7 linked regions of the Xenopus tropicalis genome follow. The main gene of each other region encodes a partner of the protein of the gene in region 3 in a complex. Links are inferred from orthologs where the notes say so. Each region holds a gene or a part of one and is shown on either strand. Other genes may lie near its edges.

Region 1 (3,500 bases), on a different chromosome or scaffold from region 3:
ATGGACATCATTTTCACCTAAAATTGTCATGTCTCACCTGATCTGATGATGGATATATCTCTTGATAACTGTGTTTACTAACTATATCCATTGACTGAGCAATACAGGTACAAGTATAGGATCCCTTATCTGGAAACCCATTATCCAGAAAGTTCCAAATTATGGAAAGGCCATCTCCCATAGACTCCATTATAAGCAAATAATTCTGATTATTTCCTTTTTCTCAGTAATAATTAAACAGTACCTTGTACTTGATCCCAACTAAGATATAATTAATCCGTATTGGAGGCAAAACAATCCTGTTGGGTTTATTCAATATTTAAATGATTTTTAGCAGACTTATGGTATGGAGATCCAAATTACGGAAAGAATTCTTATCCGGAAAGCCCCAGGTCGCGAGCATTCTGGATAACAGGTCCCATAACTGTATTTCAATATTATTTTTGTACCTCAACAGAATGTCTGACTCTGAGACTCAGACACGAAAACAGTGCATACTAACTGGCTGCCACTTTATCAACTACAATGCTCGACATTTACGTGGTAAAATATAAAATATAAGCTCATTTTGCAGTGTTTATGCCCTACGAGGGCTTATTTATTAAGGACAACCACAGCTGCGATCATCACCTGTGAATAAGGGGTGGGGCTGGGAGTAAGCCTTCTGTCCAGCAAGGAGAAGAAGAAACAGTACAGCTGGAAAGCGGAAAAAAAAAATTGCCAGGGAGACTGCAAGTGAAATATTTATTAAATTGGTCTGAGTTCAACTAACAGTGGTTGAGGCACTTTGGGGAAAAAAAAACCTTGCTATGAACACAGGATATTTTTTCTTTTTGGTAAATACTGATTTATTTTAAACATTTCGGTCACATTCCATTCTTGTTTGCAATCAATACATTTAACAGAATCCTGCCTTTTCTGCACCAGTGTTATGCTCTGTTATATGATTCCACGTTTGAACGTTATCAGTGTAATTTAACAGAAGGTGTAAAGTTTGTACTGGTCTCGTTGCTCATAGCTACCAATAAGCAAGTAGCATTTAGCTGTTGGAAAACAAACATTATTTGGAGAAAAATATAGATAAGAATCATACAGAAACCCATTATCCAAAAAACAATGAAATGAAGCAGTCATTTCCAAAAAATTTCTATTAAAAATGAACAATAATGAATTTGATTATTTTTTTCAAACCACTTAAGTACTATCTAAGCAAACAATAATATCCTGCTGGGTTTTCAACAAACAAGCACACACAAATTAAGAATTAATCAGCACCTACCTCTCTTCTTAACTTGCTGTTTTCATTATCAGTTTCTTCATTTCGGAGGGCAAGCTAAAAGAGTGAATAATGAAATAGCTGGATTTATAACTTTCATTTTAACTTTTTATTTTCATTGTTACGCAGACCCTACTTGCATCAAAATGCACTCTTTACAATTCCATATAGTTGTGCTTAGTGCTGCTCAGTCCTCCCTGCTTTCCATTCTGAATCAGGCACTGCTGCACCCAGTCACGCAGGGAGAACACTGGAGCTACTGCCACCTTCTGACCAGGCAGTAGCTCCAGGGTTCCCTTCATACCCTGCACCAATAGAAGGAGCACACTTGCTCCCAAAGAATTGGGCATGCGTTACTCACACCGTACATCGGAAATTATGCCAAGCGAACTTCCATGCAATTGCATTTTATCTCTGAGAAAATGCATGTGCAGTTGTGCTAATTTTGCCAGATCAAAAGCAACTGCACCAGGGCAATTCCCGCTTGCTGCTGCAATGACGCTTGCAGGAAAAAATCCACACATTACCTATTGTTAATAGTCATTCTCTGATAACATTTGACTTGCAAATATGGTTATATTCTGGCACAAAAATTGTTACATGCATCTCAGTAATAACAGCACTAAAGCATTATTGTTACACAAATATATTTTTTCCTCAAAAGCATTTTAGAAATTACACCACAGTAAAGTTGCAATTGGCTTACACATTAACCATGCTCTTTATGGTCTTTCAAATGCAAACGTAAGGGCATATTTATTGTAATGTGTAAGCCAACATCACCGGTGATATTGCCCATAGCAACCAATTAGCAATTACATTTAAGTTAGAAAACAAAAGCAAAGATCTGATTGCTTGCTATGGGTCACATCACCAGTGATGTTGGCTTACACACTAGAATAAATATGCCCCAAAATGTGATTTGCTCCTTCACTGCTGATCAGTTTCTTTTTTGTTTAAATGTACATTTTGTGCTCTTTTCCTTAGGGGAATTTCCAGGTGGTGATATTTAGAAAACGATGCCTTCAGAACAGATGATTAACCAACCGACTGGTTTATATCATATAAAGAGGCCTATTATAGAATCTTACCAAACTGGAATATACCTTGAACCACTATTTTGTGATGATCTTTGTGCTTCTTTAGAGTTCGCCTTATCAGAAATAATGGTGCTCTAACTGTAACTGTACAGGAAGAAGTGTAGGAGCAAAACACAGGACTTTGTTCATTAATTGGCTCATAAGAATGAACATGTATGTGTACCCATGGTTTATCTGTGTGCACCCTGAATAGTACGGACCATGAGGTTGGTCCTTAATACTTAAAATAGGATTAACCAATAGCACATACTACTAAATTAGTATATTTTTATTAAAATGGTTTATTTAGCTGAAGCAGAGGTTTACATATAAGCTGTTGTATGCAATATATTTTTATAGAGCCCTTCAATGTTAGGGTGTATAGAATGTCAAGTTCCACACCAGAAATCAAATTGGATTGGCATGCAACTGATGCAGTAATTGTGAGCGAGAAAGATTCATTCTAAAGGCTCTGGCAATAGAAAAATGGAATAAAATGTAACAGTTAGTAAAAATTAGTGGCACAATGAACACACTGTCAAAAGGGAAGTTTTCCTGGGTTCTGATCTTTTAAAGGAACAGTAACACTAAAAAATCACATCACAGGACATCACAGTAATAATAAAAGTACCAGACTGAGATAGTAGTAATGTGGGAACTACATCTCACTGTCAAATGGGATCTGCTTTGGTATGAAAACATTACAGTTAGACAGGAACAATACAAAACTTTTTGTCTCCAAGCTAAAAAAACATTTACAAAAATGTACTTTATTTTTGTTCACACGACCTAGTATCTTCCAATAACAACACTGTTTAGCTTCACAAAATATACCGACACAAATGAAAGGAAGGTGGTCATTGATATAACTTACTTGTTCATTAACTTGTTTCTCCCTTTCCAACTCATTTGCCATATCTTTGCATTCTCTCTCACTCTGACGCAACTGCTCCTCCAGCTGTCTAATTTCTTCACGCAAAAAACGTGAATCTCTGCTACCAGAGGATAGCTGTGCCACCTGTTTTAAAAACAAGAAAAAATACATTCTAATATTTGAACTTTGCCTTTCAAATTGAACAACTTTAAACTGAGGTTATCTATATCCTAAAAATCTGTAGAAGAGAAATGTATCCTATATAATGTAA
Region 2 (3,999 bases), on a different chromosome or scaffold from region 3:
TCTCTTTCTATCGATCTATCAGTTTACCTTACTACACCTTCTCTCTCCCTCCTGCTGTTCTGATCAATCAGTAATCGGAACAATAGAAAGGCATTCGTAAGCCAGCCATACACGCACAGATGTTATCATCTCGTACAATATTCGGTGCGTGTATGGTGACTTGTAGAGGCGACCAATATCCCAGAGGCTGTGGATATCGGTTGAAGGCGCCATTGAAGGCGCCCGAGCAAAATCTACGTTCAGGGCTGAAGGAGGTAGAATTTCTATTGTTTCTACCTCCTTATCTGATGATTCAGCCCTGAACTTCAGCTACGTGTATGGCCACCTTTACTTGTATGCTCTCCATCCATTTGGCTTAGGGGCCACTCTTTGGAGAGCGTTCCAGATGGGCCAATGCCTGATTAGAAGATCTAGGCAGTTTGTTATACAGCCCTACACATTTTGGGGAGTGAAAGATAGCTATATCTGTGGGCCCCAGGGTCGGACTGGGGGGGGTGCAGGGCACACCAGGGCTCCCGCCCTAACCCCCCCAACCCCCCACAGGGTCCCCCACCCGACGTCCTCCCCTGAGCTCCCGTAAATTTAACGCCTCAGGGGAGGAACGGTCGGGCAGGGGGAGCGCCGGGATTTGTCCCGGTGTCCCAGCGGCCCAGTCCGACCCTGGTGGGCCCAGATAGTCAAGGGGTATGCACAGGGAGGTGCTGCTTCCCCCGCCCCCTGGAGGGTGGGAAAGAAACAATGTTTCAGGAGCCTAAACCACCTGTATAGAGGATATATAAATCCCTTGTGTAACTTCCCATGCAGTTAATTCCCTCACTGTGGGAAGTAAAGTCATAATGACGTCATTATACCCAGTAATATTCCCAGGGTGCATCAGGCCTGTAGTAAGAAGGTAGCGTGGCCGAGCGGTCTAAGGCGCTGGATTTAGGCTCCAGTCTCTCTGGAGGCGTGGGTTCGAATCCCACCGCTGCCAACTCAGCTTTTTATTTTCCCCCCTGCATCTATGGCTTGATATATTTTCGCTCGAACTGTAACTTCTTTTCGATTAGCCGCCATTGTGGAGGCTTTGCATCTATATATATGTTAGTTTGGGACAGGTTTCATAATCAGGGATGTGTCGTCGCTTTTACGACAAAGCGCTAAAACTTCCAGCTACAATAATGGCGGACTTGCCTTCTGCCCCATGTGACCGGGGCTCAGTAGGTGAATGGTCAGAATCTCCTGAATCCTGCGCGTTTTGGTTAGGACGCTGAGGGGTTGCTAGGCAACGGTAAGCGGCGGGTTTTCGGCTCGGAGATTGGAACGGGTAAGGGTTTTGTTCCAGTAAGTTACTGGTTTAACTGGTCTCTGCCCGGGGAATACTTTGTATGTGAGATATTTAATGGTTAATTTATACAGTATAAGTAGCTATAAAAGTCTGTATATATTATATGAGAGGGTTGCCGGCCTGTATATACAGTAATAGGAGTCAGGGAAGCCTGTATATATTATATGAGAGGGTTGCCGGCCTGTATATACAGTAATAGGAGTCAGGGAAGCCTGTATATATTATATGAGAGGGTTGCCGGCATGTATATACAGTAATAGGAGTCAGGGAAGCCTGTATATATTATATGAGAGGGTTGCCGGCATGTATATACAGTAATAGGAGTCAGGGAAGCCTGTATATATTATATGAGAGGGTTGCCGGCCTGTATATACAGTAATAGGGGTCAGGGAAGCCTGTATATATTATATGAGAGGGTTGCCGGCATGTATATACAGTAATAGGAGTCAGGGAAGCCTGTATATATTATATGAGAGGGTTACCGGCCTGTATATACAGTAATAGGAGTCAGGGAAGCCTGTATATATTATATGAGAGGGTTGCCGGCCTGTATATACAGTAATAGGAGTCAGGGAAGCCTGTATATATTATATGAGAGGGTTACCCGCCTGTATATACAGTAATAGGAGTCAGGGAAGCCTGTATATATTATATGAGAGGGTTGCCGGCCTGTATATACTGTAATAGGAGTCAGGGAAGCCTGGATATATTATATGAGAGGGTTGCCGGCCTGTATATACAGTAATAGGAGTCAGGGAAGCCTGGATATATTATATGAGAGGGTTACCGGCCTGTATATACAGTAATAGGAGTCAGGGAAGCCTGGATATATTATATGAGAGGGTTACCGGCCTGTATATACAGTAATAGGAGTCAGGGAAGCCTGTATATATTATATGAGAGGGTTACCGGCCTGTATATACAGTAATAGGAGTCAGGGAAGCCTGTATATATTATATGAGAGGGTTACCGGCCTGTATATACAGTAATAGGAGTCAGGGAAGCCTGTATATATTATATGAGAGGGTTGCCGGCCTGTATATACAGTAATAGGAGTCAGGGAAGCCTGTATATATTATATGAGAGGGTTACCGGCCTGTATATACAGTAATAGGAGTCAGGGAAGCCTGTATATATTATATGAGAGGGTTGCCGGCCTGTATATACAGTAATAGGAGTCAGGGAAGCCTGGATATATTATATGAGAGGGTTACCGGCCTGTATATACAGTAATAGGAGTCAGGGAAGCCTGTATATATTATATGAGAGGGTCCCTGGCCTGTATATACAGTAATAGGAGTCAGGGAAGCCTGTATATATTATATGAGAGGGTTGCCGGCCTGTATATACAGTAATAGGGGTCAGGGAAGCCTGTATATATTATATGAGAGGGTTGCCGGCATGTATATACAGTAATAGGAGTCAGGGAAGCCTGTATATATTATATGAGAGGGTTACCGGCCTGTATATACAGTAATAGGAGTCAGGGAAGCCTGTATATATTATATGAGAGGGTCCCTGGCCTGTATATACAGTAATAGGAGTCAGGGAAGCCTGTATATATTATATGAGAGGGTTGCCGGCCTGTATATACAGTAATAGGGGTCAGGGAAGCCTGTATATATTATATGAGAGGGTTGCCGGCATGTATATACAGTAATAGGAGTCAGGGAAGCCTGTATATATTATATGAGAGGGTTACCGGCCTGTATATACAGTAATAGGAGTCAGGGAAGCCTGGATATATTATATGAGAGGGTTGCCGGCCTGTATATACAGTAATAGGAGTCAGGGAAGCCTGTATATATTATATGAGAGGGTTACCCGCCTGTATATACAGTAATAGGAGTCAGGGAAGCCTGTATATATTATATGAGAGGGTTGCCGGCCTGTATATACTGTAATAGGAGTCAGGGAAGCCTGGATATATTATATGAGAGGGTTGCCGGCCTGTATATACAGTAATAGGAGTCAGGGAAGCCTGGATATATTATATGAGAGGGTTACCGGCCTGTATATACAGTAATAGGAGTCAGGGAAGCCTGTATATATTATATGAGAGGGTTACCGGCCTGTATATACAGTAATAGGAGTCAGGGAAGCCTGTATATATTATATGAGAAGGTTGCCGGCCTGTATATACAGTAATAGGAGTCAGGGAAGCCTGTATATATTATATGAGAGGGTTACCGGCCTGTATATACAGTAATAGGAGTCAGGGAAGCCTGTATATATTATAAGAGAGGGTTGCCGGCCTGTATATACAGTAATAGGAGTCAGGGAAGCCTGGATATATTATATGAGAGGGTTACCGGCCTGTATATACAGTAATAGGAGTCAGGGAAGCCTGTATATATTATATGAGAGGGTCCCTGGCCTGTATATACAGTAATAGGAGTCAGGGAAGCCTGTATATATTATATGAGAGGGTTGCCGGCCTGTATATACAGTAATAGGGGTCAGGGAAGCCTGTATATATTATATGAGAGGGTCCCTGGCCTGTATTTACAGTAATAGGAGTCAGGGAAGCCTGTATATATTATATGAGAGGGTTACCGGCCTGTATATACAGTAATAGGAGTCAGGGAAGCCTGGATATATTATATGAGAGGGTCCCTGGCCTGTATATACAGTAATAGGAGTCAGGGAAGCCTGTATATATTATATGAGAG
Region 3 (4,179 bases):
CCAAAAAGAAATGAATGAGATGGAGAAATATAATTGATAAAAAATGTCTGTTCTATTATCATAATACTGTATGTCCATTATTTTCTTTTGATTCTTTTATTTCTAATTATATATCAAAGAACCAGTGAAGATACATTTTTTTAACCAGGGAAAACCTATAACATTTTTAATCTGTTCTGGACGTTATGGACTCTTTATATTTTATAATGTGACTTTACCTTCTCTGTTCTCTTTTCCTATTTAACAAATAGCACAGAGCACCTCTGATGATCCTGAATATAAATGGGTAAAGCTCTTTTGTTTTAATTGACACTACAAAACACTTATGCCTGTAATAATACAAGCAATCCGCTTAGTGATCCCCCTCTGCTAACTGTTTGGAAAATGCAGCAAGAAGTCAAATTTGAATCTGAATCAATTTGCCCCCATAGCTTGTGTGTATGGCTACAGGGCTACTAGATATCTTCATATTAGAAGAACATAATAAAACACTTTACCTTGAGTTCCATGGTAATGATCTCTGATATAATCCAGAAAGGAAAAAAGAAAGCATTGAAATATAACATCATCTGTAGTGGAAGGCTTGACAGTAGGTCATGGCCTAAAACAAAGGAAAATATACAGATATTTTATTTTCAGCCCATTGACCATTTGCAAACATTTTTGCCTTGTTAAGACTGAAGCTTTGAGAGCAGAACTTTGCAGCATCAAATCAATATCAAGTAACAACATTTGTGCTTTAAATGTCCTTTTTTCTGTTATTGTGCAGTATTTCATAAGAATACATTTTAGTACATTTATTTGTATAAATACCATTTGTATATGCTGAAATCCAGCTGCAAAATAGTTCTTCAGGTGCTGCATCATTTGAAATACTGTCAGGGAAGGAAGTACTAAAACATTGATGTTACAAATTGTAACAACTCCTCTACAACTTATAGGCAGCATGCAGGAACTATATAACCCACAATGCATTGTACTGTAAACAGGGGCAGCAGAAGCGCAAAAATCAGCTCCTGGTAACTTTAAGAGCCGAATTTCCGGTTTTTAAACCGGAAATTCGGCTCTTCTAGTGCAGAGAGCGCAATTGCGCTCTCTGCACTAGCGATCTCACTGCCCCCGGACCCGCTCCTGCGCTCAGAAGGTAAGCGCTGGGGAGCGGGGGGGGGGCGGCATCCAGGAGCCACCTCAGGCGGCGATATGTCCAGAATCGCCCCTGACTGTGATGTTCCTTTCTTTATTGACATTATGTGCAGTGGATTCTGGGACTTGGAGGATGCAGGTTGAAGGCAGGCTGAGGACAGTCGACTACTGTTACATTTTATTTGAGTTGTCAAAGTAGACAGCCAGATCAGCAGGACAACAGGGAACAGGCTTAGGTAACTGTTCCAAAGGCTTAGGTAACTGTTCCATATGTTTTTAATTGCTATATATTGCAACATTGCTTAAAATTATGTTTACATTTCAAAAAGCTTAGGGTGAAGTCCCCTTTAATCTTGCAGACTGCAGTTGTGAATAGCTTCGGAAAACTGCCCTCTCCTTCCCAGCTTATTGGGATAAAGCAGATTGGCTTTTCACAGATGGAGACCTAAATGTGCCTGTCTCCATAGAATGCCAGAGATGATAATAGCTTCAGAAGCTGGGTGTAAAAGAAACAAACTTTGATGTGCCTATTAATAATATAAACATTAAAAAATAGGACAATTACCTGTATTGTATTAAATTTTGTATAAAGAATTGTCCTTTGTCAAGTACAATCTATTCATTAGGAAGAACAAATTAACAAGTATTTATAAAGCACCAACCTATACTTCAGCACTGCAATATATGGGTGTGTACATCAAACCTACATGTTACATACAGATACAAACAAATCATAATAATGACTCTGCTTGGAGTCATTGCATGGATTTAAACTTACAACTGTAACTGTAAAAAGATGGCTACTTCTGGGCTATGCTTTGAGCCTTACTTCAGATTGCAAAATCTGGCAGCACAAAACATATCACTTATTCCTGAGTTACAAGGCACAATACCTGACTGATATGCATGTTGTTCTCCACAGTCTCTGGTCTTATTTTGAATGAAGAGAGATCCACTAATTCTGGCAAGTCCATGCCGTACGCTGCCAGGCAGTGGAGTAAGAAGAGCCATCACCACTGCTTAGCAGATGCTAACTCTGTCTTTCTATAGAGATCAGACAGGATTACTGTCATCCTTGCATGTTGATTAAAATGTTTCAATGGGATTTGCAACAGGCTGCTTTACTAAAGGATTATTTTAATCAGAACCTGAAGAGAGCTAATTTGGTACAATCCTGCTGTGCAGTATTTTTTCCAATGTATATTAAACTTTCCTATCCTCCACTGGTTTGTAATCTAACTTTTTGCACCATATTGCTTGTCTAGAGAAAATAGTCACAATTTACAATATAAACTCAAGCTTTCTCCTACTGTAATATTATTATGTTCATTGTTGAATGTTTAACCAATTTTTCCAAATTGTGGCATCAAAATTGGCCACCACTAACCCCATTATTGCCAGTGGAATCACATCTCAATTGAATATTTTAGAATATTGTTTTTTTGCTGGAGAAAATGCCCGAGTATTACCTAGACCTACAGTTTAGAAGATTATATATCAAAAAATAGTGTCAGTGAATATGCAACCTGGGTTCTGGATGTTGCTGTGTTCAGAAGAATGATGGGTTGTGTAATTGGGTTGTCAGTCCACAAATAAAATTCCATGTTCCTTCTTTGGTAAAGATCTTTAAAAGATCATAATTCTTACTCAATATGGAGTGTGTTTGGAAAAGAACAGCTCCTGCCTATGGAAGCAACTACTGATTAGGCATTTGGGGACAAAGGATTTTCTGATTCCATGCCTGCAAGGAAATAATAAGAAGCACCCGTTGAACTAACTACAAATGTAACCCTCAACCCTCTTATACTGTACATTTGTTTTGAGTTTACTGGTCATCCACAAGGTTGCCCCTTGTAAGCTATTCCTCAAACAAATAAGCTGGCCTCAAGAAAATTAGGAGAGAGTTGCGACTGCAATGACCAACTGGCCTATGGGAAGCATGGTTGGACTGGATTTTCTGAGCAGTCAGGCACTCATCTTCTAGAATCAGAGGATGGCCTATTGTAACTTGCAAGCCAAAAGCAGCTTAAATGCTGTGCAAGCATGCTGTATATTCACAACATTTGTATACGCTACAATGTACAACATTGTTTTATAATAATAACATCAAATCCAAAAAAGAAGATATTGCAGCAATATTAAAACAGACCAGTGTTGTCCAAATAAAATTATAATGTTTTTACTGCACAAACCTTAGGGTTATGCAATTGGGATAATATTTGTAAAAACCTAAATAGATACACCATGGGGACTTGTTGTGCAACAAAGGTGTATGTGGTACAACATTACTATACATTGACTTTGTAGTTAGTGTACTTTTATACTGACTTGTGGTTACATAAAGTAATGGAGGAAACATGAGCCTTTCAGTGGGCTCCATTGCTTACAAATACGACATCATGAGATGACACAACAGATTTGACACATTTGTTTACTTTCTTTTGGTGGAGGGCTTCACCTATGTGCAGTCCTAACTAAAATCATTGCATTTTTAAATAGATGTAGTATATTGATCACTTTTTTCTCTTTTTTAATTCATACCTTCCCTTTATATTGAAAGACACAAGCATAGATAGGTACAAGATGCAAACATATTTGTGTCTGTTTCCTCCATGAATGGACTCCTGATAAAAACTGATTATGGTGTCGGTGAATGAAAGCATTATATCCTGTTCTGGCATTTCTTATAAAAGGTTGAAAAGAGGCCAGAATGTTGCAGAACATATTTACACACACATTTGACATGTGCATTTGGCTAACTTTTTACTACAGCACAGAATGTGGAGGTACATAGGGTTACTACCTTTTCTGAAACAAAACTGACCTTCCTATATTGTTAGCATTTTTTCTTATTCATAACGGTTCTTATTAATAACAAGCTTGAATTTTACTGGCCAGGTGGCAACCCTAGTGGTACTGAATCCAAAAATAGTTGTGATATTAGTGACCCTCCCTCCCCACCTGAGATTCTCCTCCATTCCTCCTTCCACTCAATGTCCTTCCCTTCTCTAACTTGTAAGACTTTTCTGACACCCC
Region 4 (4,224 bases), on a different chromosome or scaffold from region 3:
ATCCCACTCTGAGTATCACTCATGTATTATAGGGATACTGTACCCCCTACTGTAAATGATAAGGATATTAGCAGTCACTGAGGGGTTCTGTGCCCCCCATATAAAGGCACAAGGCTGCAGGCTGAGTTATACAGGGAACTCTGAGTATCACTCATGTATTATAAGGGATACTGTACCCCCTACTGTAAATGATAAGGATATTAGCAGTCACTGAGGGGTTCTGTGCCCCCCATATAAAGGCACAAGGCTGCAGGCTGAGTTATACAGGGAACTCTGAGTATCACTCATGTATTATAGGGATACTGTACCCCCTACTGTAAATGATAAGGATATTAGCAGTCACTGAGGGGTTCTGTGCCCCCCATATAAAGGCACAAGGCTGCAGGCTGAGTTATACAGGGAACTCTGAGTATCACTCATGTATTATAAGGGATAATGTACCCCCTACTGTAAATGATAAGGATATTAGCAGTCACTGAGGGGTTCTGTGCCCCCCATATAAAGGCACAAGGCTGCAGGCTGAGTTATACAGGGAACTCTGAGTATCACTCATGTATTATAAGGGATAATGTACCCCCTACTGTAAATGATAAGGATATTAGCAGTCACTGAGGGGTTCTGTGCCCCCCATATAAAGGCACAAGGCTGCAGGCTGAGTTATACAGGGAACTCTGAGTATCACTCATGTATTATAAGGGATAATGTACCCCCTACTGTAAATGATAAGGATATTAGCAGTCACTGAGGGGTTCTGTGCCCATATAAAGGCACAAGGCTGCAGGCTGAGTTATACAGGGAACTCTGAGTATCACTCATGTATTATAAGGGATAATGTACCCCCTACTGTAAATGATAAGGATATTAGCAGTCACTGAGGGGTTCTGTGCCCCCCATATAAAGGCACAAGGCTGCAGGCTGAGTTATACAGGGAACTCTGAGTATCACTCATGTATTATAAGGGATAATGTACCCCCTACTGTAAATGATAAGGATATTAGCAGTCACTGAGGGGTTCTGTGCCCCCCATATAAAGGCACAAGGCTGCAGGCTGAGTTATACAGGGAACTCTGAGTATCACTCATGTATTATAAGGGGTAATGTACCCCCATGAATTGTTAAAGGAATATAAGAAGCAGTGGGCGGGGCCAGGCTATACCTGTACAGGTGACTTGGTACCGTCTCACCTATGTAAGTGCCAAGGATACAACTCCGCGCCTTCTCCCTGGGAAGCAAACGCACAGTTAGGGGGCAGCACAAGTCACATGATACCAAGCAGAAGACCCAGTGGGGGCCGGGGGCCCCTCCCAGCACTCAGAGCAGCCATGTTTGGTCTCCCCCTGTAGGTGCCCATAATATACCCACATACCTGCCCGTAATATACCCACCCGCCTGCCCGTAATATATCCACCCGCCTGCCCGTAATATACCCACCCGCCTGCCCGTAATATTCCCACCCGCCTGCCCGTAATATACCCACCTGCCTGCCCGTAATATACCCACCTGCCCGTAATATACCCACCTGCCTGCCCATAATATACCCACCCGCCTGCCCGTAATATTCCCACCCGCCTGCCCGTAATATACCCACCCGCCTGCCCATAATATACCCACCCGCCTGCCCGTAATATTCCCACCCGCCTGCCCGTAATATACCCACCCGCCTGCCCATAATATACCCACATACCTGCCCGTAATATACCCACCCGCCTGCCCGTAATATACCCACCCGCCTGCCCGTAATATACCCACCCGCCTGCCCTCAATATACCCACCCGCCTGCCCGTAATATACCCACCGCTGCCCGTAATATTCCCACCCCCTGCCCGTAATATTACCCACCCGCCTGCCCGTAATATACCCACCCGCCTGCCCGTAATATACCCCAACCCGCCTGCCCGTAATATACCCACATACCTGCCCGTAATATACCCACCCGCCTGCCCGTAATATACCCACCCGCCTGCCCGTAATATACCCACCTGCCTGCCCGTAATATACCCACATACCTGCCCGTAATATACCCACCCGCCTGCCCGTAATATACCCACCCGCCTGCCCGTAATATACCCACATACCTGCCCGTAATATACCAACCCGCCTGCCCGTAATATACCCACCCGCCTGCCCGTAATATACCCACCCGCCTGCCGTAATATACCCACATACCTGCCCGTAATATACCCACCCGCCTGCCCGTAATATTCCCACCCGCCTGCCCGTAATATACCCACCCGCCTGCCCGTAATATACCCACCCGCCTGCCCGTAATATACCCACATACCTGCCCGTAATATACCCACCCGCCTGCCCGTAATATACCCACCTGCCCATAATATACCCACCTGCCCATAATATACCCACTTACCTGCCCATAATATACCCACCTGCCCATAATATACCCACCTGCCCGGGGAATGTGCGCTATTGTGGGTAACAGGGAGAAGTCGCTGCTTCTCTGGGGATGCCGGGAATTGTGGTCTAACAGCCCCCCCCCCCCCCCCCCAGTTGTAGTTGCACACTAGCGGTGCGGGTCCCTATGCAGCAGGTAAGGGGACAGCGTAGCGGCATCGGGTGCAGGGGATGCTGGGAGTTGTAGTCCCGCTGATCAGCTGCACCTCTTGCATAGGGGACACAGTAGCCCCACGCTTACAGGCGCCATTACAGGGAGCAGGGGGGCCGCTCTTCCATCCGCTGCTTCGCCTCCCGCTTACCTTTGGGCGCCATCTTGCTGCTCTAAGGACGCCTGTGACGTCACTCCCTGGAAACCTCCGCAACACGTGACCCCCTGAGCCGCCTGTGCGCCGCGGGGTCCTAGCGCCTTCCCCCCTAACATTCAGGGCCACTAAATAACTGGGACTGGCTGGGCTTCTGGGAACTGTTCAATGGAGAGTGTACCTGCAGCCAAATTAGATTGCTAGCTCCTCTGCCCAGGGAGACAGTAGGGCAAGATGGAGACAGTAGGGCAAGATGGGGACAGTAGGGCAAGATGGGGACAGTAGGGCAAGATGGGGACAGTAGGGCAAGATGGAGACAGTAGGGCAAGATGGGGACAGTAGGGCAAGATGGGGACAGTAGGGCAAGATGGGGACAGTAGGGCAAGATGGAGACAGTAGGGCAAGATGGGGACAGTAGGGCAAGATGGAGACAGTAGGGCAAGATGGAGACAGTAGGGCAAGATGGAGACAGTAGGGCAAGATGGAGACAACCCTTTATAACACTGAAGAGGTTATTCCAAACACAAGAGGCAGTATGAGCACTAATGACTGCACGGGGGGCAGTAGAGGAGCGAGGGTGGGAGAGTTGGGGGCCGATGCTGCTGTCTCTCAGTAGTGATGCGCAGTCGTTATTAATTGGGGCTGAGATGCGAGACCCTCGCTTCAAGAGCCGGATGTTCCCACCCACGGTTTCCTCGTCTCACTGCTACTCACCTAATTATGTTACTCACAGTTACTTCATTATAGAACCCATAGCCCAATAAAGGGTCAACTTCCCCTTTATATTTACTTTTAGTAACACATGGGCGGAGTTACAGGTCACTGATCCCCACCGTGATCCCCACCCTTTTCCCACCCTGTTTCCTTCTTGATCCCCACCTTGATCCCCACCCTGATCCCCACCCTTTTCCCACCCTGATCCCACCATTTTCCCACCCTGATCCCCACCCTTTTCCCACCCTGTTTCCTTCTTGATCCCCACCTTGATCCTCACCCTGATCCCACCCTTTTCCCACCCTGATCCCCACCTTGATCCCACCCTGATCCCACCCTTTTTCCACCCTGATCCCACCATTTTCCCACCCTGATCCCCACCCTTTTCCCACCCTGTTTCCTTCTTGATCCCCACCTTGATCCCCACCTTGATCCCACCCTGATCCCACCCTTTTTCCACCCTGATCCCCACCCTTTTCCCACCCTGATCCCCACCCTTTTCCCACCCTGATCCCCACCCTTTTCCCACCCTGTTTCCTTCTTGATCCCCACCTTGATCCCCACCCTGATCCCACCCTTTTCCCACCCTGATCCCCACCCTTTTCCCACCCTGTTTCCTTCTTGATCCCCACCCTGATCCCCACCCTGATCCCCACCCTTTTCCCACCCTGTTTCCTTCTTGATCCCCACCTTGATCCCCACCCTGATCCCACCCTTTTCCCACCCTGATCCCCACCCTTTTCCCACCCTGTTTCCTTCTTAATCCCCACCCTGATCCCCACCTTGATCCCACCCT
Region 5 (4,147 bases), about 3.9 Mb from region 3:
AATGACACCACACCAATGGCCCTTTCAAAAAATCTGAGAGGAAACACTGGAAGCCTAGTTTTTCAGCACCAAAAATGTGCTCAAAAAGTCACCCTCGGCTTATACTCGAGTCGGGTGCCATGGGTCCCTCCAAACTAGCACCCTCTGTCCTTTGTGGCCCGCTCCCAAATTTATCTTCATCTACCATCCTTACCTGTCCCATTCTGCACTAGACATTTCACTTTATATTCTATATAAACTATATATAGTTTTGAAGGATTTTAACTCTTTGTGTTTTAGCTTGGTTGCTGAGTACTCTTAAGGTATCATTGTTGATAAAACAATTGTTTTTGTTGACCCTCCACTTACAGAGCTAATTTACAGTTTTTATTTGAAATAAATATTTAAAAACATATACCCCACTGATGCCTCATTTAATGTAATTTTATTGGTATTTATTTTGATAAAACTTAACAGTAGCTGCTGCATTCCCTAGGCTTATACTCGAGTCAATACGTTTTTCCAGTTTTCTTAGGTAAAATTAGGTACCTCGGCTTATATTCGGATTGGCTTATACTCGAGTATAGACGGTGATTGAGCATTATAATGATTTATGCTGAACTGCGTGTGTGTGCAGTCCCTCCTGACTACTTATTGGCTGGTGGCACCTGAAATCCCTCTGTGGAAAATTACTTTACTCTAACTCAGAAAGAAGATTAATCTTAGTTATACTCACGCTGAAGTGGATAGTCTATACAAATATCTGCATGCAAATACGTGCAGTCTTTCAAATGGGGGTCACTGAACCCAGCAGCCTAAAATGATTGCTCTGCAAATTTACTATTTTATTGTTATTATTACTTTTTATTAATGTTCTTTACAAAGGAATGGGCCTGTCAACCAGAATGCTCGGAACCTGGGCTTTTCTGGATAAGGGGTGTTTCCATAATTTGGATCTCCATACCTTAAGTCTACTAAAAATCATTTAAACATTACATAAACCCAATAAAATTGTTTTGACTCCAGTAAGGATTAGTAAAGGGTTGGTTGACTATTTAGTAAACGTTTTGTATGTTAAAGGTAATTTGGACCCTAGCAACCAGATAGCTGCTGAAACTCCAAACTGTAGAGCTGCTGAACAAAAAGTGAAATAACTAAAAAACTACAAATAATAAAAAATGAATTGCAAATTGTCTCAGAATATTACTCTCTATATCATAGGCAAACACCCCTTTTAATATCTTAGTTGGGATCAAGTACAAGGTACTGTTTGATTATTACAGAGAAAAGGAAATTATTTTTAAAAATTTGAATTTTTTTGATTAAAATAGAGTCTATGGGAGGTAGCCTTCCCATAATTTGGTGCTTTTTGGATAACGGGTCCTATCCTATTCATCTTCCAGTCTCCTAGTCAAACCACTGACTGGTTATTAGAGTAAATAATACCCTAGCAATAAGAAATCACTGAAAAACTTAACAGAATAACTCTTGTGGGGAGGTAGCTTGAAGGGGGGCAATGGAGGGGGTGGAGGGGGCTGAGAATAGGGTAGGGTTTAGTTCTCTTTAAAAGCTTTAACATTTTCAATTATTTACAGTAATGATAGAAAGTAGTTTTAATGCTCCCATCACTAGAGAAATGGATCAATTAAATGGGCATTGCCAGACGCAGTAGTGCATCATGTTACTTACTTCTATGAAGATTTTCATTTATACTTACTGTTGGTGACTGGAGAGGGAAGAACTCGAGCACCAGGTTGGTCAGCAGAACCAAAGCTTCTTGTTAACTCATCCCCTGGAGAAGCTATGACTCCAATATCAATGACTTCTGAATCCTCAACTCCTCTATGGTCTGTGTTGTTTTCAGGTGGGACGTCTTCCTCTGCACCCTCCAACACCTGGATTTCAGGTGGTTCTGTATAGGCTGTCTCTGCAGGCATTTCATTGGCCAGGCATCCACGAATATCTGCAGCATTGCAGTCAGGATCGCAGCAACAGTTGTCATCACAGTGGGCAACCAGCAGGTCACAAACACAAACCACCCTGTTAACTTAATAAAGCAAGACAAAAATAGCAGTCACATTAGGCTGATAGCCCTACTCACACAAATATGTAGAACTATAACCTGGTAACCCCAAATGCTGGATGAATATTACTGAACCAACAGTAGCAGCTAGGAGAATATTTTGAAGTAACTTTGAAACAGACAACTAGAGGAAAAATTTAAGCAGGGCTGAACTTATATACATATAGCTATTTGATATGAGTAAAACATTTTTTCATTTTTCCATTGTCAAAAAAAAACAACCTTGCAACATGTAATAATGGGTTGAACGTATATTCATACAAATTAGAGTTCTGATTTGGCTCAGGTTTTGATATGGATTTAGTACATTCCTACTAGACTACTGCCTTTTTCCATTAACAAAAATGACATTTAAACAATACAATAAGTGGTAAAGAGTTTGTGATTCCCTTTAACCAGGCTTAGGCAGCCAACCCCCCATGCTACCTACTCTTGGTTGGGCTCAGAGGCTCAGGTGTATTTGTAGCCACAGGTAAGGTATCGCTATCATTATAGTGAGACTCCGCTTTGCCCTCAGAGGTCTGGTTGTCTGTCACATGGTCAGGAAGCAGAGGACCCCCCGTACTGTCCCAGGCCTGGGTCTCAGTTGGTTCGGTGCGGGCAGTCTCCTTAGGGCTCTCGGTAGCGAGGCTGCAAGTCCCCAAAACCACGCAACAACAAAAGAGCGCAAAGCTGCAGCTCCATAGGGAATTCATGGCGGATACATAAAGGCTTACATAGCGGCAGCCTGCCTACAGTTGCTGTAAACAACCCTAGCGACTTGCGGGATCCAGGAAGTGACGTATTGTCTATTAATCATATGGACCAGACCCTGGGAGCGGAAAGATTCGCAACTTAGGTTTTAAGGGAAATTGCCTTCTCGCAGTGTAGTGATTTGCGTTGCCTGGTTTTCTTTGGGGTTCATGCTGGACACCCATGTTATTATATTACTATATATAGTATGATATGCTTCATATTACCAATGAGGGAAACGATATCTCTGTTGCTGTTGCCAGCACGGAATACATGTACCACTAGAGCAATGATGCACAGAGATGTCATTTGAATGGGTTGGTTACCTATAAAATAACTTTCAGTATGGTGTAGAGAGTGATTTTCGGAGAAAAATTGCTATTGGTCTTTGTTTTTCAATTACTTAGCTCTTTGTTCAGCAGCAATCCTGTTTGGAATTTCTGCATCTGGTTGCTAGGGTCCAAATTACCCCAGGATAAATAGGAGAGACCCCTGAATAGCATGATAAGTGAGCAATAGGCTTTTGGCTGCTGGGGTCAGTGACCCCCATTCGAGTTGGAAAAAGTTATAAGACAGAGGCAAATAATTAAAAACTATAAAATATAAAAAAAATGAAGACCAAACGAAAAGCTGATTAGAACTGGCCATTCTATTACATAATAAAAGTTAACTTAAAAGTAAACAACTCCTGTGGACATTTAAATTCAGTATAATGGAAGGAGATTTTTTGGAAAACTATTGTGATTACGCAATTGCATTAGATTCAGCAAAATTAATGCAAATGTGTGTGCATTTTATTGCAAATTGGCTGCAGTTGAGCTGAAGTCCAGCTGGCATAATTTCCAGTGTCTGCCGCATTCAAGTGACCACTGTGACCGAATCTGGAGGTGCAAGTGTGCTGCGCTTATTGCGGCTGGGCATGAAGGGAAGCCTGAAACCAGGGTTCCCGTGTCATTAGTTGCAGCAGTGCTCTATTTAGAAAGGAAGACAGGAAAGGCCAAGTGGTGCCGAGCCAATTACACAGAAGTGCAAAGAACACATTTTGCTGCAAGTGGAGATTAATGCACAACTGACTGCAGGGAAGAGTGTGTGAGTGCAACGGAGTGCATTATTATCACCCTACTGGCTTAACTGACTGCTTTGCATATTCTGTTATAAACTTGTATAATGAAGGAGAATAACATCATACATGTAGGCAGAGCTATAACAAAAAAGGATACAGGATTTACTAAGTGCAGGACAGGGTAGGGTGCAAAGTGCAAATTGTGGGCAGAGTCTGCCATGTATTTCGTACTTTGCACCTTCTGTAAGTTGCATTTTTACACACCGTATTGCTCTTGTGTTTATGGTCTA
Region 6 (2,737 bases), on a different chromosome or scaffold from region 3:
GTAACGTATTTACTTTTTCTCTCTAAAATTATGACAGTTGCTAGTAATTGATGTTAAATAAGCTAGCATAAATGTCTCTCTCATTCCTTTCTTAAAGCATGGTGCTTAATTTTATTAAAAGACCTTTTATCTAGATAATCTCAGAAGTTAAGCATTAAAAATAATAGATTTCATATGTTTAATACTAGTAGCTTAGAGCACGTATCCCTCTTGCCCTGTCTAGTAGTTTATTTGCTCCTTGATGGACAATGCACTACTGTATATGTGTGGCCTTTTGGGAGAATGAATGTATGTGAAATATATTAAAATCTATAGCTATACATTTTTATGAAGTTGCCCAATCCACTGGACATTAAAAGCACTAGGGTATATACTGATCAGATTTTAGATGAACATAAACACTGTTGAACACATCACCCACACACAATTTATATTCCATAATGTTTGGCATGTGTGAGTGACATGTGCCACCTATTTTGGCATAACTGTCTGTGCCAATTGATTTGGGCAGGAAGAATTGAGCAGTGCCAAGCAACATATGGAAGTGCAAAAAGTACCTTTCTAAGCAAGTACCTTCTTACCCAATTTTCTCATGCAACTTACTGCAAGGAAATTAGCGGCATTGCTGCTGTACTAGCAGTTGTAAATGACCCCTACCATGCTGAATGGCACATTAACTGTTCTTAGCTGCTGACGAACCATTCACTGTAAGATAATAAATATGTGTGCTGGTTTAAATGGAAGAGTTTGCAAGCCTAACGGGAAATCTTAAACTGCTCTGTATTATGGGAGCCAATGCTAAATGGTCAGTGCTTAGAGTATGGTGGACAAGGACAGTTGTAACCCTGAGGCTTTGAACACAAAAGGGTAGAAAAGGGGCTGTATGTCAAATGTGAAACATAATTAAACGTTATAATAATAAAAAAAAATATATATATATATATTCATTATATTTGTAGTGTTTGTGTGTATGTATACAGAATAGACATAAATTTCGGCAACATCATTTTTGGCAACAGATTTGTTTGTTTTGTGAGAGATTTGTGAGATATTTTTATATTTTATGCATTATTATAGTTGTTATTATTTACCTTAAAGTATTAGGCATCTTTTTGTGTTTGTTAACTTTTTAATGTTATCTGGTTGCAGTGACCACAGTTCTGAATGCCCCAAACCCCCTGTGGATTGTTGGGAGAGCTGCTTCTGATCCATTTGTAATAAAAGCTGTTATCCGGTATCCCGTGGAATCAATATCATATCCTTTAACTCTTGTACAAGTTTGAAAAGTATAATTCTTTGTGCATATGCACAGCTTCTAGAGTATTTCATATGCCTACAAGTATTAAGAAAACTATTACTTTTATATCCGGTGCTTGGGCTATTTCTGATTTCTATTTCCTGGGATTTTGTTTACTGTTTTCAATATTAGTGCCACATGTCCCTTTTGAAGATTCCTTAACATTATCCACATATGTGCCTGGATTCTGGGAAATGCTAAAATATGCATGGATTCAGTATGTCAGTATCCTTCTCATTTTCCTTTGGGTATTTGAGAGAATTAAAATATTTGTTTTTCAAAATCAAGTTTTGACTACAGTACCAGGCCCAATACCATCATTGTATAAAAGTCATCAGAGCTGATAACCAACCCCATATGATAAACTGGATCTTGGGTATGCCTTTTGAGGCCTTAAGACTTCTAATAACTTCTCTTTCTTTACTGTGATAAAGAAGTGGATTTTCAGGAACATGAGAGGAAACCTATTTGCTATGTTGGAATTATTACAGCAGGAATTTCAGACGTGTTACTGATAAACTTCAACTCCCACAAAACATGCAAATAACACTAAGCGAATTCTAAGGGTTGTAATTAAGCAAGAGGTGAAAGCTTGCCTCAACAGCCCATACATTTAATGCTATGTTTTAATAATATCTTCTTGGAAAAATGAACCTAAATGTACTTCCTTTGGTAATATTTCCTTCTTTCTGAAGAGAGTGTTGGTTTAAAAATCCAGTGGCACTGGCAGTACATTGGATTGCCGTATACTACTGGTACCACTCCATCTTAAATTTCTTCGCTCCTAGTCATTTTTTTGTGGAAGCTAGAAATTGTTTTGCAAAATATCTCAGTCTTCCCAAATATTTCAGTTATTATTAACTGAATATTTCATTTTTATTAAAGGGGACCTGTCACCCAAACATAAAAAGCTGTATAATAAAAGTCCTGTTAAAATGAAACATAAAATCCAAATTCCTTTTTTTATTAACACATCCAAACCCATTATAAAGGCATTTAAAAATTCCAGCTGTAAATCATATATTGTATTAGGCATAGAGGTGGGGCAGACAATTACTTTCACTTTCCATTCAGCACTTCGTAGATGTCACTGCCACCCTCATCACTTTCCCCCTCCCTCCTCACCATCTAACTGTGTAGCCAGTGCATGGGCATGGGCATCAGGTCCCCCATTCTGGCACATAAACAAGATTTTGTTGTTGAAGCGAAGCTTTCCTTACTAAAATAGCACCTGGCTGCTTGCTGTAGTTGTGTAAAGACTGTGTAAAGACTGAAGGAAACAGGATTTAAATAATTAAATAATTAATTACAATAATTATATTGTGTAAGTAAAGTTTATTATGCTTGACTAATCTGATAGAAAATAATTTGGAATTATTTCTTACGATGACAGGTCCCCTTTAAAGGAGAAGGAAAGATAAAAACTAAGTAAGCTTTATC
Region 7 (3,500 bases), on a different chromosome or scaffold from region 3:
ATACATGAAAATTGCACCCCTAACAGTCCATATGCCTTCTGCATCCTGTGCTGGATTTAGAAATAAAGGGCAAGGTGCAGACTTTACACTTACTTTTGTCAATTTGCACCTTGTTTACATAAAATGTTTACTTAAAGGGACCTGTCATCCAGAAAAAAAAAAGCTGTATAATAAAACTCTTTTTCAAATTAAACATGAAGCCCAAATTCATCCAAACCCACTTTAAAGGAATTTAAAAATCCTAGCTATCAATCAAATATTGCCTGTTCAGACAATTAACATTCACTTTCCCCCTCCCTCCTCACCGTCTAAAAGGTTTAGCCAGTGCATAGGCATGTGTATCAGGTCCCTCATTCCGGCACATAAACAAGATTTTGGGGTGATACAAAGCTTGCGACCACAAAATGGCACCTGCCTGCATGCTGTAATTGTGTAGTTCCATGACTGGAGGAAACAAGATTTATACTATTTATATAGTGTAAATAAAGTTTATTTTGCTTGACAAACACACTAGAAAACGATTTGGAATTATCTCATAGGGTGACAGGTCCCCTTTAAGGGCTAATTTTCTACTCACATCCTCAGTTGAGGTTGTGCAAATGGGGATACAGTGACACGAGAATTGGAACAATTCATCCTTGCAGTTACAGTATGTATATCTGTCCCGTCTGCTGTAAATTGTGTGCGTTTAGCAGTAGCGCCAGGTTTCACCACATTGGCTTGCATCAATTGACATACTCAAAGAATTCAATGCAGAAGTAATTTTGACCCTAGTGCTGGAAGTGACAACATCTTGACTCACAAACACAATTTTGATGCACTGGCTGCAATTGTCTGATGCAGCGCCCTCTTGTGGCCACAGCATTGTAAGTAATGTCCGAATTTGAACTTGCGGTCAATTTCAGTTACTCCTAACATATCAAACACCCCACTCTGTTCTCAATTTAATTACTTGGTTTTCTCTTTTGTAAAATCAATGTTTTTCAGACTGCACATTAATGTAAACACTGTATGAATCAAGCTCATTTAGGCACCTTTATTTAATAATAAGAAAGATATTTCAATTACACACAGAAGTCTTACCCTACCCCATGTTAGTACTTACTTTTAGGGAGTTCCACAAAGAAATGTACATAGAGATTATCATACTCAAACTCCTGTGCTGAGACTGTTAAATAAAAAAAGATAAATAGGTGAATTAATGATGGGCAGGGTTGTAGGGGCTGCAAAATATAGTGTTATATTTGTATAGCACGGGTGACATCAAATCAAATGATTAATAGAGAAAAGGACAGCACCCATTGTCTATTACAGATACAATAAGAGTTTCATGTTTTCATTTTTAAATTTTCAGGCATTTTTAAATAAACAAACAATTTTTTAGTGATGGGCATTTATTTGTCATTAGCAAATGATATGTGATGGAACTTGGTTACGAAATAGCCAGGGACGCTGTAACTTCCAAGATGGTGGTGTCATATTTACCCATAATGTCACCTGTCTGTGCAACAGAGCTACTGACCCAGAGACTGGGCCTCAGGAACTCAAAATCATACAGAATTGCTGTTTCTGACTGCCCCCACCTTAGTTACACCCCTGCTGCCTTCCTGTTACAGTACAGGAGGGCTATGGTTGGTTTATAAATAGGTCTATGGCCGGCCAGCCCAAGATAGTAGCTGCAAACTAAGCCAGCAACAATATCACAGAAAGCAGTAGGCACCTCAGTAGGTGAATCTAATATGGTAAAATGGTCAGTTGCTGAGAAATTTATTATTTATTCTTCAAGGGTTACGTGTCTAATAATATGACTCAACTTCCTTTTATTAACCCTTCTGTTTTTCCCATTTGCCTCCCTCAGATCTCTTCTTCTTCCTTTCTTTGTTTTTGTATTTCTTTTCCTTTGCAGTGATAATAATATGTTGCTGCCTGAATCAATAAAACAATATAAATTAGGGACCAGCAATGCGCTAAAATGCTGAAAATATAATCCTACTGCAAATTCATACTATAAACTTCTGCTGTAAACTTTATTTTTCAAATATGAAGGGTTTACCAGATGTGCCTGAAATGCTAGTAAAGTTTCTTCAAAAGTCACAGATTTGGTGGAATGCAGTATTATTATTCTGTATGTATGGAACGCCCACATATTCCACAGAGATTCATCATACACTTTGCCCCAGTAGATATAGAATTTTTTTATTAGAATAATTATAATGTGCTCTAATAAACCTGTTGCTTATGAACCAACTGTAACAGCATTTTAGGCACATACGATCCTTCGCCGTGATAATGCACTTACCAATTTCCCCATTAATGAAGACTCTTAGGGTACCTGCAGGGGGCTATGAGGAAGCAGAAGAAGAAACAAATTTAAAGTAAAAACATTGCTTACATGCAACCTCTTTTACTTTAGCTGTTGCAGAACTACAACACCCTAGATTCTCCTGCCAGTTTAGCTACTTTGGGTGCCGTGTGTCAGATTTCTATAACAGCTTCAGAGCCAAGGTTGCTTATTCATGCTTTAAGCCAACATTTATTAATGCACAAACTGAAATATATACCAGGCCCTGTTTTTAGTGTAGCCTTTCCAAAATCAAAGACCTTTATCCCAAAGCAAAGAACATAGGGGAAATAATGGTCCAAGTGTCTGCGTTAGTGTGAGTTAGTGGCCACAGAATCCACTGCTCTCTGAGAAATGGCTATATTTTAAAAGGATATGGAAAATATGTTGTAAATACATAGAGCTTCTCTAATCAGAAACATGGTACACAATCCATTCCAGCCATAATGCATTCAAAATATTTCCCAGTGCATTCATGAGGCTGAAAAAGCCACATGTCCAAAAGTTCAACCTTTTTGTCTAAAATTGGCACTCCCAGTCATTATGCCTTTCCTTGTCCTTGAGAATCTCTTCACTAGTGTAAATGGTCCAAACTGGCCAACCTTCCATTAGCAGTTCTTCTAGATTTTCTCTATTTTACAAATATACTTTTTAAGGACTGGAGACAAAAACTGCCTTGCCAGTGCTTTGTAAAGGGGAAGAATGTCCCTATTCCCCTTCTTGTATCTATTCCCTCTTTATGATTGGTAGTTTTAGTACCTTTCTGACATTTCCTGCTGCTGACTTACATTGCTTGCTACAGATACATTTCTAATCCACAAGTACCCCTAGGTCCTATTTCATAAAGGAATCTACACTGCCACTTTGTCCAGATTCTCCTGCAAGGATAACTCACTGTGGACTGAATTAATTGGCCTGCAAAATTATTGGCAAAAACATTGCATTGCAGATAAGCACAGGCTCACAATCCGCCCCTATGCTTAAAAAAATCTTCTGGTTGTGCCCACACCCGTAAGCACTGAATCCACAAACAGGCAAAAACAGCCAATATCCACCAACATATGCAGATATGTTGTGCATGCCTAAACCCAGGTAGATTCAGTGCTTACGGGTGCAGGCACAACTAGAAGACTTTTTAAGCTAGGGGCAGATAGTCAGT

What was found.
Region 1: tmem17 (region 3) and cep290 share a complex: the UniProt entries of both Homo sapiens proteins name them as parts of the tectonic-like complex. The link is inferred for Xenopus tropicalis from reciprocal best matches to the Homo sapiens genes TMEM17 and CEP290.
Region 2: tmem17 (region 3) and tmem107 share a complex: the UniProt entries of both Homo sapiens proteins name them as parts of the tectonic-like complex. The link is inferred for Xenopus tropicalis from reciprocal best matches to the Homo sapiens genes TMEM17 and TMEM107.
Region 4: tmem17 (region 3) and tmem216 share a complex: the UniProt entries of both Homo sapiens proteins name them as parts of the tectonic-like complex. The link is inferred for Xenopus tropicalis from reciprocal best matches to the Homo sapiens genes TMEM17 and TMEM216.
Region 5: tmem17 (region 3) and tctn1 share a complex: the UniProt entries of both Homo sapiens proteins name them as parts of the tectonic-like complex. The link is inferred for Xenopus tropicalis from reciprocal best matches to the Homo sapiens genes TMEM17 and TCTN1.
Region 6: tmem17 (region 3) and tmem231 share a complex: the UniProt entries of both Homo sapiens proteins name them as parts of the tectonic-like complex. The link is inferred for Xenopus tropicalis from reciprocal best matches to the Homo sapiens genes TMEM17 and TMEM231.
Region 7: tmem17 (region 3) and mks1 share a complex: the UniProt entries of both Homo sapiens proteins name them as parts of the tectonic-like complex. The link is inferred for Xenopus tropicalis from reciprocal best matches to the Homo sapiens genes TMEM17 and MKS1.

Annotation. Positions count from the first base shown.
Region 1 is NC_030679.2:54,382,020-54,385,519, forward strand, and holds part of cep290 (centrosomal protein of 290 kDa), read right to left. Parts: intron 3,374-3,500; coding exon 3,230-3,373; intron 1,334-3,229; coding exon 1,280-1,333; intron 1-1,279. UniProt on the Homo sapiens protein: Involved in early and late steps in cilia formation. Its association with CCP110 is required for inhibition of primary cilia formation by CCP110.
Region 2 is NC_030679.2:144,535,902-144,539,900, reverse strand, and holds the start of tmem107 (transmembrane protein 107), read left to right. Parts: upstream 1-1,199; 5' UTR 1,200-1,306; exon of another isoform or gene 1,307-1,323; intron 1,324-3,999. UniProt on the Homo sapiens protein: Plays a role in cilia formation and embryonic patterning. Requires for normal Sonic hedgehog (Shh) signaling in the neural tube and acts in combination with GLI2 and GLI3 to pattern ventral and intermediate neuronal cell types.
Region 3 is NC_030677.2:166,773,548-166,777,726, reverse strand, and holds the start of tmem17 (transmembrane protein 17B), read right to left. Parts: upstream 2,801-4,179; 5' UTR 2,155-2,800; coding exon 2,037-2,154; intron 602-2,036; coding exon 498-601; intron 1-497. UniProt on the Homo sapiens protein: Transmembrane component of the tectonic-like complex, a complex localized at the transition zone of primary cilia and acting as a barrier that prevents diffusion of transmembrane proteins between the cilia and plasma membranes.
Region 4 is NC_030678.2:178,905,790-178,910,013, reverse strand, and holds the start of tmem216 (transmembrane protein 216), read right to left. Parts: upstream 2,801-4,224; 5' UTR 2,725-2,800; coding exon 2,712-2,724; intron 1,223-2,711; coding exon 1,206-1,222; intron 1-1,205. UniProt on the Homo sapiens protein: Part of the tectonic-like complex which is required for tissue-specific ciliogenesis and may regulate ciliary membrane composition.
Region 5 is NC_030677.2:162,883,776-162,887,922, reverse strand, and holds the start of tctn1 (tectonic-1 precursor), read right to left. Parts: upstream 2,801-4,147; 5' UTR 2,758-2,800; coding exon 2,493-2,757; intron 2,027-2,492; coding exon 1,697-2,026; intron 1-1,696. UniProt on the Homo sapiens protein: Component of the tectonic-like complex, a complex localized at the transition zone of primary cilia and acting as a barrier that prevents diffusion of transmembrane proteins between the cilia and plasma membranes.
Region 6 is NC_030680.2:64,234,200-64,236,936, reverse strand, and holds the end of tmem231 (transmembrane protein 231), read left to right. Parts: intron 1-1,149; coding exon 1,150-1,255; intron 1,256-1,469; coding exon 1,470-1,641; 3' UTR 1,642-2,237; downstream 2,238-2,737. UniProt on the Homo sapiens protein: Transmembrane component of the tectonic-like complex, a complex localized at the transition zone of primary cilia and acting as a barrier that prevents diffusion of transmembrane proteins between the cilia and plasma membranes.
Region 7 is NC_030678.2:41,742,356-41,745,855, reverse strand, and holds part of mks1 (Meckel syndrome type 1 protein), read right to left. Parts: intron 2,343-3,500; coding exon 2,300-2,342; intron 1,169-2,299; coding exon 1,106-1,168; intron 1-1,105. UniProt on the Homo sapiens protein: Component of the tectonic-like complex, a complex localized at the transition zone of primary cilia and acting as a barrier that prevents diffusion of transmembrane proteins between the cilia and plasma membranes.